Astyanax mexicanus: one gene and its partner. Each later gene encodes a partner of the first gene's protein in a complex. Links are inferred from orthologs where the notes say so. Each region holds a gene or a part of one and is shown in the gene's direction. Other genes may lie near its edges.

What was found. The genes of interacting proteins can lie anywhere in the genome.
Region 2: the proteins of sptlc2a (region 1) and ormdl3 are in contact, whole or in part, in a cryo-EM structure (PDB 7K0O), measured with the Homo sapiens proteins. The link is inferred for Astyanax mexicanus from reciprocal best matches to the Homo sapiens genes SPTLC2 and ORMDL3. Residues at the interface, in NP_004854.1 of Homo sapiens: Glu65, Thr66, Pro67, Met68, Ala71, Val72, Tyr75, Tyr86, Gln116, Phe118, Glu119, Asn120, Phe121, Tyr122, Tyr127, Trp134, Asp259, Glu260, Leu261, Asn262, Val267, Arg271, Ile279, Met320, Val495, Val496, Gly497, Phe498, Pro499, Ala500; in NP_001307730.1 of Homo sapiens: Met1, Asn2, Val3, Gly4, Thr5, Ala6, His7, Ser8, Pro12, Val16, Ser19, Arg20, Gly21, Ile22, Leu24, Ser25, Leu28, Phe63, Val67, Lys68, Gly69, Thr70, Pro71, Phe72, Glu73, Pro75, Gln77, Arg81.

The regions. Positions count from the first base shown.
Region 1 is NC_064421.1:6,544,140-6,551,235, reverse strand, and holds the start of sptlc2a (serine palmitoyltransferase 2), read left to right. Parts: upstream 1-4,002; 5' UTR 4,003-4,148; coding exon 4,149-4,313; intron 4,314-7,096. UniProt on the Homo sapiens protein: Component of the serine palmitoyltransferase multisubunit enzyme (SPT) that catalyzes the initial and rate-limiting step in sphingolipid biosynthesis by condensing L-serine and activated acyl-CoA (most commonly palmitoyl-CoA) to form long-chain bases.
Region 2 is NC_064422.1:44,020,827-44,028,850, forward strand, and holds the start of ormdl3 (ORM1-like protein 3), read left to right. Parts: upstream 1-5,125; 5' UTR 5,126-5,134; intron 5,135-8,024. Other genes in the region: wnt3 (proto-oncogene Wnt-3), read right to left, coding at 4,884-5,125. UniProt on the Homo sapiens protein: Plays an essential role in the homeostatic regulation of sphingolipid de novo biosynthesis by modulating the activity of the serine palmitoyltransferase (SPT) in response to ceramide levels.

The DNA.
Region 1 (7,096 bases):
ACAAGATGTGTGTTTGCATTTGCACATCTGTGTCAGCAATGGGTGCAATTTAAAGTGGCTGAATGTAACATTCATTAGTTCTACAGTAGATTTAGTGTCTACAAGTAATTGGGCATACAGGGTGTATGTACTGAGATCTTATGAATTTTAATGTGGACCATGTTGATTTTCCCATTTTAGCAAATTAAACAAATGCAAACACAGAATCCTGCAGCGCTGTTCAAACATGGCCAGTGTGCCGTGTTGCCTGGCAGATTAACAGAAGCAGGTTACTGTATCATATATTATACTGTATGTCCAAAAGTTTACAGACACCCCTTCTAATGAATGCATTTAATTTAATAAGCTGGGCCCATTGCTGTTGACACAGATGTGCAAGTAAACATACACAGCTTGTGCAAAAGAAGTAAAGAAGTGCCAGTGTATAATAGTATAGGACTGTCTGGAGCAGAGAAATATTAATCTATTGGCACCATGCCTAATGCCAGGTATGGGCTAGAGGGGTATGAAGCCCCAGCATTAAGCTGTGGAGAACTGAAACTGTGATCTCTGGAATGATGGAGCTCCATCCAATACTTTTGAATGGGATGAATTATGGATTTGCAGGGGTGTGTGATGTGGGGTGGTGATCATCTCATCCAGCATCCTGTACTCACTTAACACCCCTAACAAACTAACTGCTTCTAAACTCATTTCCTTCCCCCCTCCTTTCCTTCTCTCTCTTCCACTATAGGGTAAAACTTAAGCTTTACCTCTTTAAGCTAAGTATAGAGACAATAAGAGAAATATTAAGTTAAATTAATATTGTTAATTTCTGAACATGCAGCAGCAAGTGTCGTAAGTGCCTTTAAAATAAAACATTATGTCACCAGTTTAAATCCTGTTCATGCAGCTTGCCATCAGCTACTGTAGCCCTGAGAGAGCACAATTGGCCTTGCTCTCTCTGGGTGGGTACAGTAGATGTGCTCTTTCCCCTCATCACTCCTAGGGTGACGTGGATCAGCACAAGGCTGCGTCTGTGAGCTGATGTATCAGAACCGAGTCGCTGCACTTTCCTCCGAAAGCTGCTGTGATGCTACTCGCAGCACTAGCTCGAAAAGAGGCGGAGTCTGACTTCACATGTGTCGGAGGAGGCATGTGCTAGGCTTCTCCCTCCTTGTGTTGTGGCATCACTAGTGATAGGGTATGAAAACTGTATAAAACAGTATTAAAAGTTGTGAAGTCACTGATGTTAGAGGTTCCCAAGATAATAGGGTAAACAGAGAATTTGTGGACAAAAATTTAATTCATAAAAAAAATTAATATGCCAAATATCATTTTAATCTAATTTTTGAGGAAATATTTATTTTTAAACTTTATTTAATAAGAAATGTGTTGTTAAACCAGCCAACATACTGTGGACATTGTAAAAAAACACCCTGACATCAAAGAAAACTGTATAAAATGTGAACAATATTTGCAATAATGTGTTCATTTAAAGTAATAACTTACTGACTGTCACTTTAAGCTGCTCACCCTGTTGCGGTACAATACATTAAAATCATTTGACAATTCCACATGTCTGCACCTATAGACCAACCACATTTTTGTCAAAAAAAAACATTTTTGCTGAAATTGTCCATCCTGTCATGCAGCTTGGCATGACAGGGTGGACAAATGCATGCACCTGAAAATATGAAGTGATTAATTTCATAAAATATGATTTATCAGCGAAATTATGAGAGCTCCCTCTAAATTTAGTCAAAAGAATGAAAAATCTTTATTTATTTATTTGAGGCCTAACATACACAGTTTTTTGATGATGATTCTGTTGTTTGATGATAACATTATACACAACTTCCATGACTACCTTAGTGTTTATGCCTTTTTTATTATTTTTATTATAGTTATTATTATTATTCAATGAATATGGCAATATTCAAAACAAGAAATGGAGCATAAGTGTACATACAAAAAAAACGAGATTGTGAGAAGCTGCATGCATCAACAAAATAAAACTAATAAAAGAAAATAAAATAAAAGGCAATATGAAGGCAGTACAAGTCAAGTTTCACACAGTTAAAATTCAAATTAAAAGCAGGGACTGTGCTTTTCAAATATTTATTTTTTTGTTTTGCTTTTAATTTTCTTAACATATTATAGTGACTTGAAAAGCATGCAAAATCATGTATAAACAGGTAAAGAATATGCAGAATATGACATTTACCCAAAATAATAAATAGATTAACTAAATCTGAAATGTTTGTAGTTTTTATTTCAGCCCATATGATAAAAAGTATGTCATTGTAAGTACAATTTGGTTTGTCATTAATTTTTTTCTGAAATCCAGTAATGAATATCAGATCAAAGTAAATAAATAAATAAATAAATAAATAAATAACTTAGTAAGTTATTTATAAATAAATAAATTACTGTAATTTAACACAACTGTAATTTAATTTAACAAATACATGTTCAATAGACTCTTCAGTCTCTCCATCACAGAAACTGCATGAGCCTGTCTGATATGTAAATCTTTTATGTAGTAAGTAATTGACAGGGTATACTGCTGTACTGTTGTATTTTTTAAAGCGTGTATTTCTTTAGCTTTAGGACTAATAGGACAGGGCTAAGTGTTTATTTCTGGACCTGGAGATCTAATCTACCACCCTGAGGATTTCAGACACACCTGAGTCTGTAGGAAGATCACATGTCCCTTTGCTTCAGGCTTCAGTTAAGCCTGGAGAGGAAACGCCGCACATTTCTACCTGGGGGTTACTAGAGTTCATCTCACTGGACTGAAACTCTGTAGAAACGCCCAGCGTTCAAAAGTAGCGCTTTCATTGGCTCAGGAATGTCGTGCCGGTTCGGCCACGCCCTTTCTGCAAAATATAGGGCTCCTATTGGTGGTAACGACAGAGGCAACCCAAGAGATCATTCATTCAGTTATATTTATTTTATTTTAAATATGAGTTTAACATGGAATTTAAGCTATACATCATAAAATATGTATAACAAAAATTGTAAAAGTTTGTGCAACGCCCTTTGTCAAGACAGTGGATCTTAGCTGGATGTTACCTGCTGAATTTAATGTATATTAATTTTGTTGATAAATGTATTTTTATTAATAAATAAATGAATAAATATATATTTTTAAATACTATATAAAAATAAGTATAAATAAAATATCACCTACATCAAAAGAAGGGAAGCTGAGTTTGATATTAATCCAATTTCTAATGTCCGTCCAAAAAAAAAATCTGTGAATATTGACATAAAAAAAACAAACAAATGTTTCAGAGATTCATCTTCTGACTTCTGACAAAAGTCACATAAATCAACTTCAAATTTAAATCTTCTCTTAAGAAAAGGGGCTACAGGTTATTTATTATTTTAAAAAATCTTTCACTTTAGGAGATATGGGCCATTTGGCAAATCTGAAGTGAGCTATATATAATTTCATATTTTTATCATATGTATTAGGAAGTTATTTTAAAGAATTTATATTATATTTACAGTAAATATTTTGTCTCAAACCATCATTGATAATGTACTTCTAACCTCGTTTCGTTTCTCCTCTACTCCTCTATCCCATTATTCCCTTTGACTTCCTTAAGGCCCTATCTAAAGATGTTTTTTACCTTTTAACTTCTATTACTTTTGTACTTCACTATTGTAAGTCGCTTTGGACAAAAGCGTCTGCCAAATGTAAATGTAATGTAATGTAATGTAATGATAGTCGTATTATTACACTTAATGTAAAGTAAATTACAATCGTTCACTTTTAATGTGGGCAATGAAAGATTCACCTTTGGATATACAATGTATTATAATGGAACTTATGACTCTGGTATGACTGAAACCAGAAGGCCACGGGAGTCACGCCCCCTATTAAAAACAGATCGTGGCCATTGGTTGAGGTTGCGTCAAACGCTTTACAACGCCCACTATGCTAAACGGAGCTCAGCGATTGGCTGGGTGTGGTTTCCATGGGCGTTGATTTCCGGTATGCAGCGGGTGGAATTTCAGGTTCCTGGTCGCTGTGGTGGTGGTTGTTGGGCTGTTGGGGGTTTCTCTGGGAGGGCAGATCGTGTTATTGCCCGGTTACCGCTCTACCTATCGCCCACCATCGCCCCCGCTTCCCGCACGCGCTTCATGTATGTGATCGCATGCGCTTTGGGTCGAAGACAAGCATGACGGAGAGCTCAGCGATCAGGGAGGCGAACGGCGGTCCGGGGCACGGCGCGGCGAACGGGCTGAAAGTGGGGAGGAACGGCTGGGTGAAGAACCAGAAGCACCACCACAAGAAGCCCAGCAGCTACGCGGAGGAGAAGGTGAGCAGGCTGGATACCTGGATAAGTGTGTGTGGGTCCTCAAACATGTAGCTTTATGTTTATAGATAGGTTTACTAACTAGCTTAGCGGTGTTTAGCCTGGATAGCTAACTAGCTAAACACACTTCCTAGTTACCAGAGTTTCAGTTAACCTACCCTATAGGAGTGGGCAATATTATATCGTATACAATATATCGTGACACAGAAATATCGTGATATTAAAAATCCATATCGTAATTAAAAGTAGTCTATTATTATTTACTGTGAAGCTTTAGGTGTATTTATTGTATAATTTTGCCACATTATGATTATTCTGTTATACTATTATACTATATTCCTGAAATGAATGGATTATTTTAGTTTTCCTATATCGCCAAGTATAACGTTATCGCAAAAATACCCTGAAATATCATGATATTATTTTAGAGCCATATCGCCCACCCCTACTACCCTACTTACCTAACTAACTCAATAATACAGTATAATACAGTATAGCTAATTAATCACTAATCCACTTCACCTATGTAACTACAGTTATAGCTACACTTCTCTTAACTCCTGCTAGAGATCTTCCTGGTTATCAGAGTTTCAGTTAACATACCCTACTTACCTAACTAACTTAATAATACAGTATAGCTAATTAATCACTAATCCATTTGTCCTATATAACAGTTACTGGTAGAAGGCTGTTCCTGAAGAACAGAAGTTCAGAAATAAGAAACTATTTCTATAATCCTTAAACACAGATCTCTAGCAGGAGTTAAGAGAAGTGTAGCTATAACTGTAGTTTTATAGGAAAAGTGGATTAGTGATCAATTAGCCATACTATATTACTAGAAACATCAGTTAGAATGCTAATCCTGAAGAACAGAAGTTCAGAAATTGGAAATTATTAATGTATTCCTTAAACACAGACCTCTAGCAGGAGTTAACCCAGAAGTAAACCACCTGTAAAAGTTTATTTTCACCTATATTGCTAGTTTACTAACTAACTAACTTGGTTGGAAAAATCTACTTGAAGGCTGTTCCTGAAGATCTGAAGTTTAGAAATAGCACATTATTCCTATAATCAAACACAGATCTCTGTTTACAGGACCTAAAACAGAAGTTAAACCACCTGTAATAGCCCATTTTTTTTTACCTATATAGCTAGTTTACTAACTAACTAGGTAAGAAAATATGTTAAAAGGCTGTTCCTGAAGAACAGAAGTTCAGAAAGAAGAAACAATTCCTTTAATCCTTAAACATAGATAATATTACTGCAGTTATATAGGAGAAGTGGATTAGTGATTAATTAGCTATACTGTGTCACTGGTATTAGATTTTTGTTTAAGGATTAAATGAATAGTTTCTTGTTTCTGAACTTCTGTTCTTCAGGAGCAGCTTTCTAACTGATATTTCTAACCTAGTTAGTTAGTTAACTAGCTATATAGATGATAATAAGCTTTTACAGGTGGTTTAATTTCTGGGTTAAGTCCTGTTAACAGAGATCTGTGTTTGATAAGGGAATAGTTTACGCTTTTTGAACTTCTGTCCGACCTCAGTTACCTAGCTAACTAGATAACAAGATAAATAACTGTAAAACAAGTTAAATAACTGTAAGATATATCTTCTAAATACATACAAAAGAAACATCTTAGCTAGCTCTCCACCACCAGTTCTCCTCATCTGTTTCAGAACCTCCTACGGTTGGGTGAGGGGGTGTTCAGGAGGGAGTTCAGAAGCCATTCAAACATTAGTGTAAGATCTGCTTTCTCCTCCCATCTAGATGGGTGGGTCAGGTGTGTGTGTGTGTGTGTGTATGTTTGATCAGGGTTGGGAAAGAACAAGTACGCAAGGTGAGAGATACAGTATCCAGAAGGAGGGTTGGGCACCACCCTCTCTCCCTAGACCAAACACTGAACACTGTACACTATACATATTTTATAACCAGGATGATTTTGTTGACACAACATGGAAAATAAAATTTCAAGGAGTGAGCATATGCCAAAATTACACCACTCTATTAAACCTGAGATCAAAGGAATTAAAAATACGCAAAACTAACACAACTCCCTGTTAGATTTGACTTACCACCTACTTTTGCTCTAAACATATATGAAAACTGCAACAAAATTAAAATGGATCACATTGTGAAATGGAAGTGCTGGATTGATTTGAGCAGGATGCTTTTCCAGGTCATTAAATTAGAGGAAGCCTAAAGGATGGTTTATAGTTCAGCATGTTGTTTTTTTTTTAGCTTTTTTGATTATAAAGCCCAGGGGTCTCTTTCCCACATTCAGATTTCTTAAACCAGGATGACACAATTTTTACACAATTTGGGAAACTATACTTGAGAACAAGGGAATCAAAAATTACACAAACCCAAAACTACCATAACTAACATACGGGTAGACAAAAATAAATGGCACCTGCTATTTTCCTCAAAATATATATAAAACTGCATCAAAACTAAAAGGAAAGTTTGAGTTTGAAATGGAAGTGCATGGTTGCCGTTAGCAGGATGTTTTTCCAGGTCGTCAAAGGGGAGGAACCCTAAAGGATGGTTTAGGAAGGATACCTATGTGTCGAGTCAGCATGTTATCTATAGTGTAGCCTGTGCATGAGGCCTAAACCGCTGTGTGCGTTTATGCTTGTGTGTTTAAACCGCAAACATTTGAATGTGTAGGCAGGTACATGTGGACCAATCACAGCTACTGCACCTGTGACACCGTAGTACGTAAATACATTTCTGGGGAGGTGCATGTCATAACATGTACGTTAAATAGAGTAAAAAATATTGTA
Region 2 (8,024 bases), on another chromosome or scaffold:
AGGTGAGAAGCGATGGTTTTTCATTGACCTGGCTGAGAGTGTGACTCAGGTGGATGTTGTCATTCTGGGGAGGAACTGCTGAGTCATTCATTTTACAACTTTACATACTTAAAATCCATTGAAAAAAGTTAGAATTTTTACTAGGGATGGGCAATAAGGCCCTAAAATGTGTCACAATATTTCAGGGTATTTTTGCGATAATGATATTTATGTTGGTATGACAAAACATGGTATTTAAAACAATAATAATAATTTAAAGAATGTACTACTGCAAGTTTATAAATGATTAGTTTGTAAATATTAACTCACCAAATCAGTGTAACAATAAAAATGTATAGTGCAGCATCTCCTATTTTGATAAACATTTCCGTTTCAACATCAATGTAAATGTGCCAGAGTTAGCTAAAAAGCTTATTTTCATCTGTATTCCCTGGGGCATCTAAACGGCAAACATACAATTACATGTAAATATATTAAATAGCTTTCAAGTATATTGTGATATCACTATAAGGAGTTATATCATGTCAGAATATTTGGTTATACTATTGCGTACGATACGATATGGTACATCTCCTACATGGTACTATAATTTTTGATTGTAGTTTTGATTTTTGATTGTTTAAGAAAACATTACAAAACATTACAAAAGCAGCACCAGTAGTAAAGCAGCATAAAGTTATCCAAAAGCAGTGTGTAAGACTGGTGGAGGAGAACATGATGCCAAGATGCATGAAAAAAACTGTGATTAAAAACCATCAGGGTAATTCCACCAAATATTGATTTATTTCTGAACTTCTGAACTTTATGAATATGAACTTGTTTTCTTTGCATTATTTGAGGTCTGAAAGTTCTGCATCTTTTTTGTTATTTCAGCCATTTCTCATTTTCTGTAAATAAATGCTCTAAATTACAATATTTTTATTTGGAATTTGGGAGAAATGTTGTCTGTAGTTTATAGAATAAAACTAATGTGGTCTCTTTTTTTCCAAAGCTGTATATGTTAGCTAAACTAAGTGCCATCTCAAAGATTTGTTAGACATATTTATTTAAAAAGCGCAGTAAATTTTTATTCCCCTAAACAATTTTTAACAAATATTTTTGGCCACATTTTTGGCACCTCTAGTCTGTGTAATATTACCTATCCTAAAAGGTGAAAGGTGAGGTGAGAGGTCAGGTTTATTAACCTGGCTGGGAGTGTGACTCAGGATGTCGTCAGGTGATTTTTTTTCCTCCTCATCATGCTGTCATACTGGGAAGGAACTGCTGAGTCATTCATTTCAACACTTTTTTAAAAAATTTAGTTTTTTTTTCTTCTGAAAATTCTTAAGGTGCTCAGCTTTTCTTGTCTTGTTTTATGTTTTACATAAAGCCTGAATTAATTTGAGAACTTGTCGCCGTTATAATAAACCACCACAATAAGTACACATATTTTACAGTATTCCTAATAATCACAACTCCACAGCGCTGTCGTTATGTTATTAAGATACATTAATGTTAATAGATTTTTATAAGTTTCTCTGGTCATAAATCTTACCTGCGGAGAGTTTCTGTAAAAATGTAAGTAATTTTCTTCTGTATTTCCACTTAATGCTACCTTGTGTTTATCAAACTAGTACATTTAACACTGTTTTAAGTTGTTTTCCAGTGTTGTTTCAGCCTGTACTCTATTTTAAAGTAAGACCTGACTGGCTGAATCTACTGTTAGCTTAGTGGGTTAGCCAAATCACCGGGGAAGCTAATCCCCCTTTAGCCGGGTTTACTAGCCTTACATGCGGCCGGTGCACTAAACTTTGCTTATTGTTGTATCAAATCTGAACTAGTGGGTCTGGGTAAATTTCACACTTTTACAGAAATTTATGAAACATGTTATATTTCTGTTTTCTATAACTAAAATGTCAGTATATATGTATAGTATTGTTAAAAACGAAGGCTTTCAAAGCCTCATTAATGTTCTGGATCATATTTTACCCACACATAAACATTTGAGTAAAGTGGACATAACAAACCTGTATAGAGACGTGAAGCACGGTGTCGCAATTAACTAAGCTACATTAAATTATATTAAAAGAATAATTGAAATAAAAACTGTTGTGTTTATATAAGTCGATATAAAATAAACACTAATTGTGTTTCTTGTATAATTACAACATTTCATATTTAAAGTACAGTTTTTATTGTAACAGAAATGTACCTAAATTAATCGATTTTGAATCAAATAACGTACAGCAGCGTCATGCTGCAAAATCACATTATGAAGCTTTTTTAATTTAAGCGAAGATTACTTTATTATCACTTATATAAACCGAGTTCATGCAAAGTGACCATGCCAATAGATTTTTATTGTAGCCTACTTTATATATTTGCATCAATAATTGATGAAATTACTGTAGAAACGATAGGGTCCCCATGATATTTATCATCATATCACACAGCACTAGTGACAAGCCTACTTGTGAATCAGAATCGAATCGAACTGGGAAATCAGTGACGATACCCACCCCTACTCTTAATGTGTGTTTTACGTTTTGTATGTATGTTCTGTTGTTGTTTTATTCTAAGGGGACACAACACACACACACCGCTTCACTGCTCTTTTCTCCTGATGTTTGTGTGTTTGGGCACACACCTCTCAGGGTGGGAGGCCAGAATGAGGCCCGGTTGGTTCTGGCAGGCCCAGCTGGGTTGACTACAACAGAGTGCTGTGAGCTGAGGGCCCCAGGAGCTCTGGCCCCGAGCCAAACGGAGCGCTGCTCCCGCTACCTGCTGGGCCCATGAATCCGCCTTTGTCTCTCTGGTGTCACACTGTATTACCCGCACAAAAGGGCCCGGCACCCCCACACCCCCACAGCCCAGCTTAGCTCTGCCCAGAGCCGGCCTGGCATTCCCAACAGGAGCACCCCCCCATTTATCCCAGCAGCGACATGCACACACCAACCATGAACCCTGGAGCCTTTCTTTTTCCTTCTCACCCCGGGTTGGATTGTTTCTTAAATAAACCCTCAATATATTGAAAACCACTGGCTTCCCTGTATCTTCCTCTCTCTCTCCTTCACTCTCTCTCTCTCTCTCTGACCTCTCCCCCTCTTCACCATGGCCAACCTCTCTCCTCTGCCCATCACTGCACCCCCTTCCTGATGGGGAAGGTTGGGAGATTCCCTTTCAGCCCGTTTTCATGACACAGTCAAAAGGGCGTGTGAATGGGGCGTTCGTGGGAGCCGGGCTGTAAGAGGCACACAGAGATGGCTCATACTGGCCTTCACGCACAGTAGGGGTTGAGCGGAACCCCCCAACACCCCCCATCTCAGCCCTTTTCTATTGCTTGTAATCTCATTTGGCCTCCCCATCTCTCTCTCTCTCTCTCTCTCTCTCTCTCTTTTTCTCTCTCTCATTCACTCACTAACACTAACACTCGCGGCCAGGCTAGCGCTGCTCTCCATCAGGGGCTGCTCATCTTCACCCTCGGGGATCTGGGGATCTGCCGCAGAGGGAGATAAGGAGATAAGGAGATAGGCCACCTCCACTATCTGTCGCTCAGCAGAGTTTCTGCTCATTTAGATCACCCATTGTCTTCTTCACTGTCTTTTGTTTAAAAGAAATGCAGGAATAAAGGCAGAGGAATAAACATAATCGCCAATTTCACACTGTGAGTGTTATTAAAGCATGGCGGTGGAGTTTTTTCAGCAGATATCCGTTACGTCTGCACAATTTTTGGTTGCTTTTGTCTGTGATATACTAAGGGGTGTAACCTCATTATGAACCCAAGGGTTCGGTACATTTTTGTTATGTTTTCGGTACGTTTTTTTTAGTAGGGCTGCACAATATGGGAAAAATGCGATTTCATTTTCCAGCAGGACTTGGCACACTGCCCACACTGCCAAAAGTACCATTTGGTCTTATTTAATATTCCAATTTTCTGAGGCACTGATTTTTGGGTTTTCATTGGCCTTAAGCCATAATCATCAACGATTAACTAAAATAACCGCTAAAAATAGATCACTCTGTGTTTAATACATCTATATAATACAGCTCTGGAAAAAAATATAATCAAGAGGAAGATGTATGATCAAAAGCCTTTAAAACAATCTGAACTGCTTGAATTTTTGCACCAGGAGTAAAGACAAAGTTATCCAAAAGCAGTGTGTAAGACTGGTGGAGGAGAACATGATGCCAAGATGCATGAAAACTGTGATTAAAAACCAGGGTTATTCCACCAAATATTGATTTCTGAACTTTATGAATATGAACTTGTTTTATTTGCAGGTCTGAAAGCTCTGCATCATTTTTTGTTATTTCGGCCATTTCTCATTTTCTGTAAATAAATGCTCTAAATGACAATATTTTTATTTGGAATTTGGGAGAAATGTTGTCTGTAGTTTATAGAATAAAACAACAATGTTCATTTTACTCAAATATAAACCTATAAATAGCAAAATCAGAGAAACTGATTCAGAAACTGAAGTGGTTTCCTAATTTTTTCCAGAGCTGTATGAGAGTTTCAGATTTTGGACTGAATTACTAAAATAAAGTAACTATATTAAGGATATTCTAATTTTTTGATATTGACTTTATTGTTATAAAGTAACTGACATAAAATAGTAGTCATTGGGACAGGCCTGCTCTAAACCATGTGTTAAACCCTCAGCATCTTCTGTATTAGTGGTGGGTTCTTGGGGAACAACCATTCTAAATGATGCATTTTATTCATTATATTATTATTAATTATTAATTATTCTAAAACCAGTGTTTCCGTAAGTGTATTCTGTTCTGATTGTATCTCAAGAGCTGATAAAGCCATTAGCTACCTGAGCACACCTTCAAAGTAATATTCCAAAGCAAACACATAGCAGAAAAGTGATTGACATTCTGTATTTAATGTATTTTACCTTTGTCCAGCACAGGACCGAAGATGGCCAGGTTGTCCTTTATGGTGGTGCAGTTCCATCTGCGGCCACGGAACTGATGCTGGCACTCCTGGATGCCCAGTTTGACGCCCTCGGCCACGCTGGGCATGATCTCGATGTAGTTGCGGCAGAAGCGCAGCTGCTTGGGAACCAGGCCAGGAATGGATCCGCAGAGGATGGGCTGGGAGCCCAGGGATGAGTACTGCTGCCCCAGAGCCAGGGACCTGCAACAGGTAACGGGAGAACATGCATCAGAAAAACTACCCATTACATTAGAGAGGGTGGAAGTGTGTACAGCGTGTAAGATGTACAGCATGTTACAACACAAGTACAGTATAGTACAGTTTTTCAGTCGATACGTAGAGGAAAAGTAAATGCAGTCAAGAGACAATGTGTAGTCTTAGAATTTTCCTATTGTTTCAACACTTTGATTTCTTTTGTTTTAGAAATATGAATTTTAGTAAATGAGAGAGAATAGAGGGACTGTGTAGAAGAATCCATTGGGGTCTTCAAGGAACCATCAACAATTTTCTTCCAAAAACCTTTTCTTGAAAGAAACTCTTGCATGGCATGCATTTTTTTTTATTTCTCTTTGCTATTTGGGCTAATTGGCACTTTATTAGTGTAAAAACAAAGAAATGTCTTTTTACATAATATAGTTTCTGTATGTCCACATATGAGGACTTTAGTTTTATATTTCTATAGAACACAATGAAGTTTGTAGTTAGTAATGATGTGCAAAACATTTATTTTGTGCCTGAGTGCAAAATATAAGTAGAAATTTGGCTCATTTGAAGATTCAACTTCAAAACAAAGACATAAAGTAAATAGCATAAACTTTTACTGTATTTACTGTTTATTTAAATTTCTGAAGAAAATCATACTGTAATGTGTAAAATTCTTTTGCCACCACTAAGTGACAGTATAATGGCCTCTTAAGAGGACACCAGGCCCTTGTAGAGCAACATTTTAGAGTTGTGCTAGGACGTTAAAGCATTTTTAGGGGCTCCCCCACACTGTCAAGAGGGGTTATATAATTGTTCTGTAAAATTCTGTTTACACTAGTTAAAAGTAAAAAAGGTGTGTAACTATAGGTTTAAATAGGATCTTCAGTGGATTTGGTGTTTTACAGCAGTGTTTCTCAACCAGGGTGCCGCCTGGCTTCATCGGGGGTGCCGTCAAAATATTGCGCTTCACGTGCATATTTCCTTTCCAGAGTCAGCTCGTGTCGGGGTGTGTCCCAATTCACAGGCAGCATACTCTGAAGGATGCGACCCACAGAGGCGGTGTATTACTGCGCAGCTGTGACGCAATCTGTCTTCGAATACAGCCTCTGAAGGATGCAGCCCCTAAATTGGGACACACTGTAAAGTTTTTGTCCCCCCACGCGATGCACGCGCTATTTTATTTCATATTCCGCCAGCAACACCCCTCGTTCTCACCTGAAGTACTGCGCCAGCACCTCCCCCCCCGTCCGTAAACTGGGGTGCCTTGACATCTCGCATATATTTAAAGGGTGCCGTGATAGAAAAAAGGTTGAGAAACGCTGTTTTACAGAGATTCTAAGACTCGGTCAGTGGCTGAACTGCATATACTAATCATATATGACAGTAACATATGACACTGCAAAGACTGTTATTAGTGTAAAAAATGTCTTTATTTTAAAACATTTCTAACTGTTGTTCATCTCGCTGCCTCCTGGTGTTGCAGTGCTGTTAGTCAATCAGAGGCGATATGTTTGCATGTGTGAATATTCATGAGCAAGAGCCGAAATCCTATCATTTCTCCCCTCCACCCACTCCTCCACCGGACTAAAGCAGCGTTATACCGGATCACCGGAGCACAACTAGACATTTTAGAATGAATTAAAAAAATTAAGGAATGAGACAAAAAAAACACTAAAACCACCTAATTCCTCAATGTGGATAAAATAACTCTATTCTTATGTTCCATCTGAAAAGATTATTTTTAATTTATGCAGTTTGGGACAATTCGTCACTTTTATGTTATCTTCCAACCATTACAAATTGAGAATTAATATATGAGGTAATTAATGACCTTGATGTGCTTGTACAAAGTAATGCTGTCCTTCACCGTTTTTATAAATATGCATACCTTGTGTTTATTATATAACATATTCACATTTGTTAACTAACACCTTTATTAATTAAAGTATTTATCTTTTTGTTAAGTAAACATATTGATAAAAAACAGTTACTCAAGGAAAGTATACTTTAACAGTGTATAATGGCCTTATACACTTAATGAACATTACATTTCATTACATTACATTACATTTGGCAGATGCTTTTGTCCAAAGCGACTTACAATAATGAAGTACAAAAGTAATAGAAGTTAAAGGTAGAAACAAGCAGGCCTCCCCACAATACACAGTGTCTGTTTACCAAGAAAAATGAGACTGATCCAGATAAATAGCGTATGTGTTTGTTTGTGTTCTTCACTGGCTTTAAGAACACAGTCATTAATCGAGTTAGACCCCATTAATCTGACTGTAATATTATAACCATCCTACATGCAGCAGTGTTGATGTGTTGATATTAGAGCATCGTTTCATCCTCAGATGTTTATTTGTAGTTATTTAACTAAACTGTTTTTGTTCTTCGCTGTCTTTCTGAACTTGTATTAATTGGCTGAGTCTCACATTTACTTAACTTTCACTGAGGTGTAACCTTTGATACCTGAGATCTGAGTCAGACTCTTGGCTCGCTGCCTTCCGCTGCCTTGTGGTGTGCAGGACTGTGGTGTTTAAGTGTGAATGCTTGTGCGCAGTAGCTGACTGATAGCTGACGAAAGGCATTCCAGAGAGCGAGCGCTGCTCCGTGCGGAGCATCTGCCTAAACACGGCCTCGGTACCACCTCACCAAAACAGCCGTGCCAGAAACCATTACATTTCATTCACATAATTCATTTTAATTGCCTTCTTTTTCACCCGAATGTAAGAACAAAGAAAGAGAAATGCTATGACATTCACCATGCCTGTGTTTTAACATGTTTGCTGTTATGACAGGCTCAAACACAGCTGAACTCCCATCCTCTAAGCAGTAGTTCTGCTTAGTTTATTCAATATTATATGTCAAATAAACTCATTTACTTTCTCCGTCT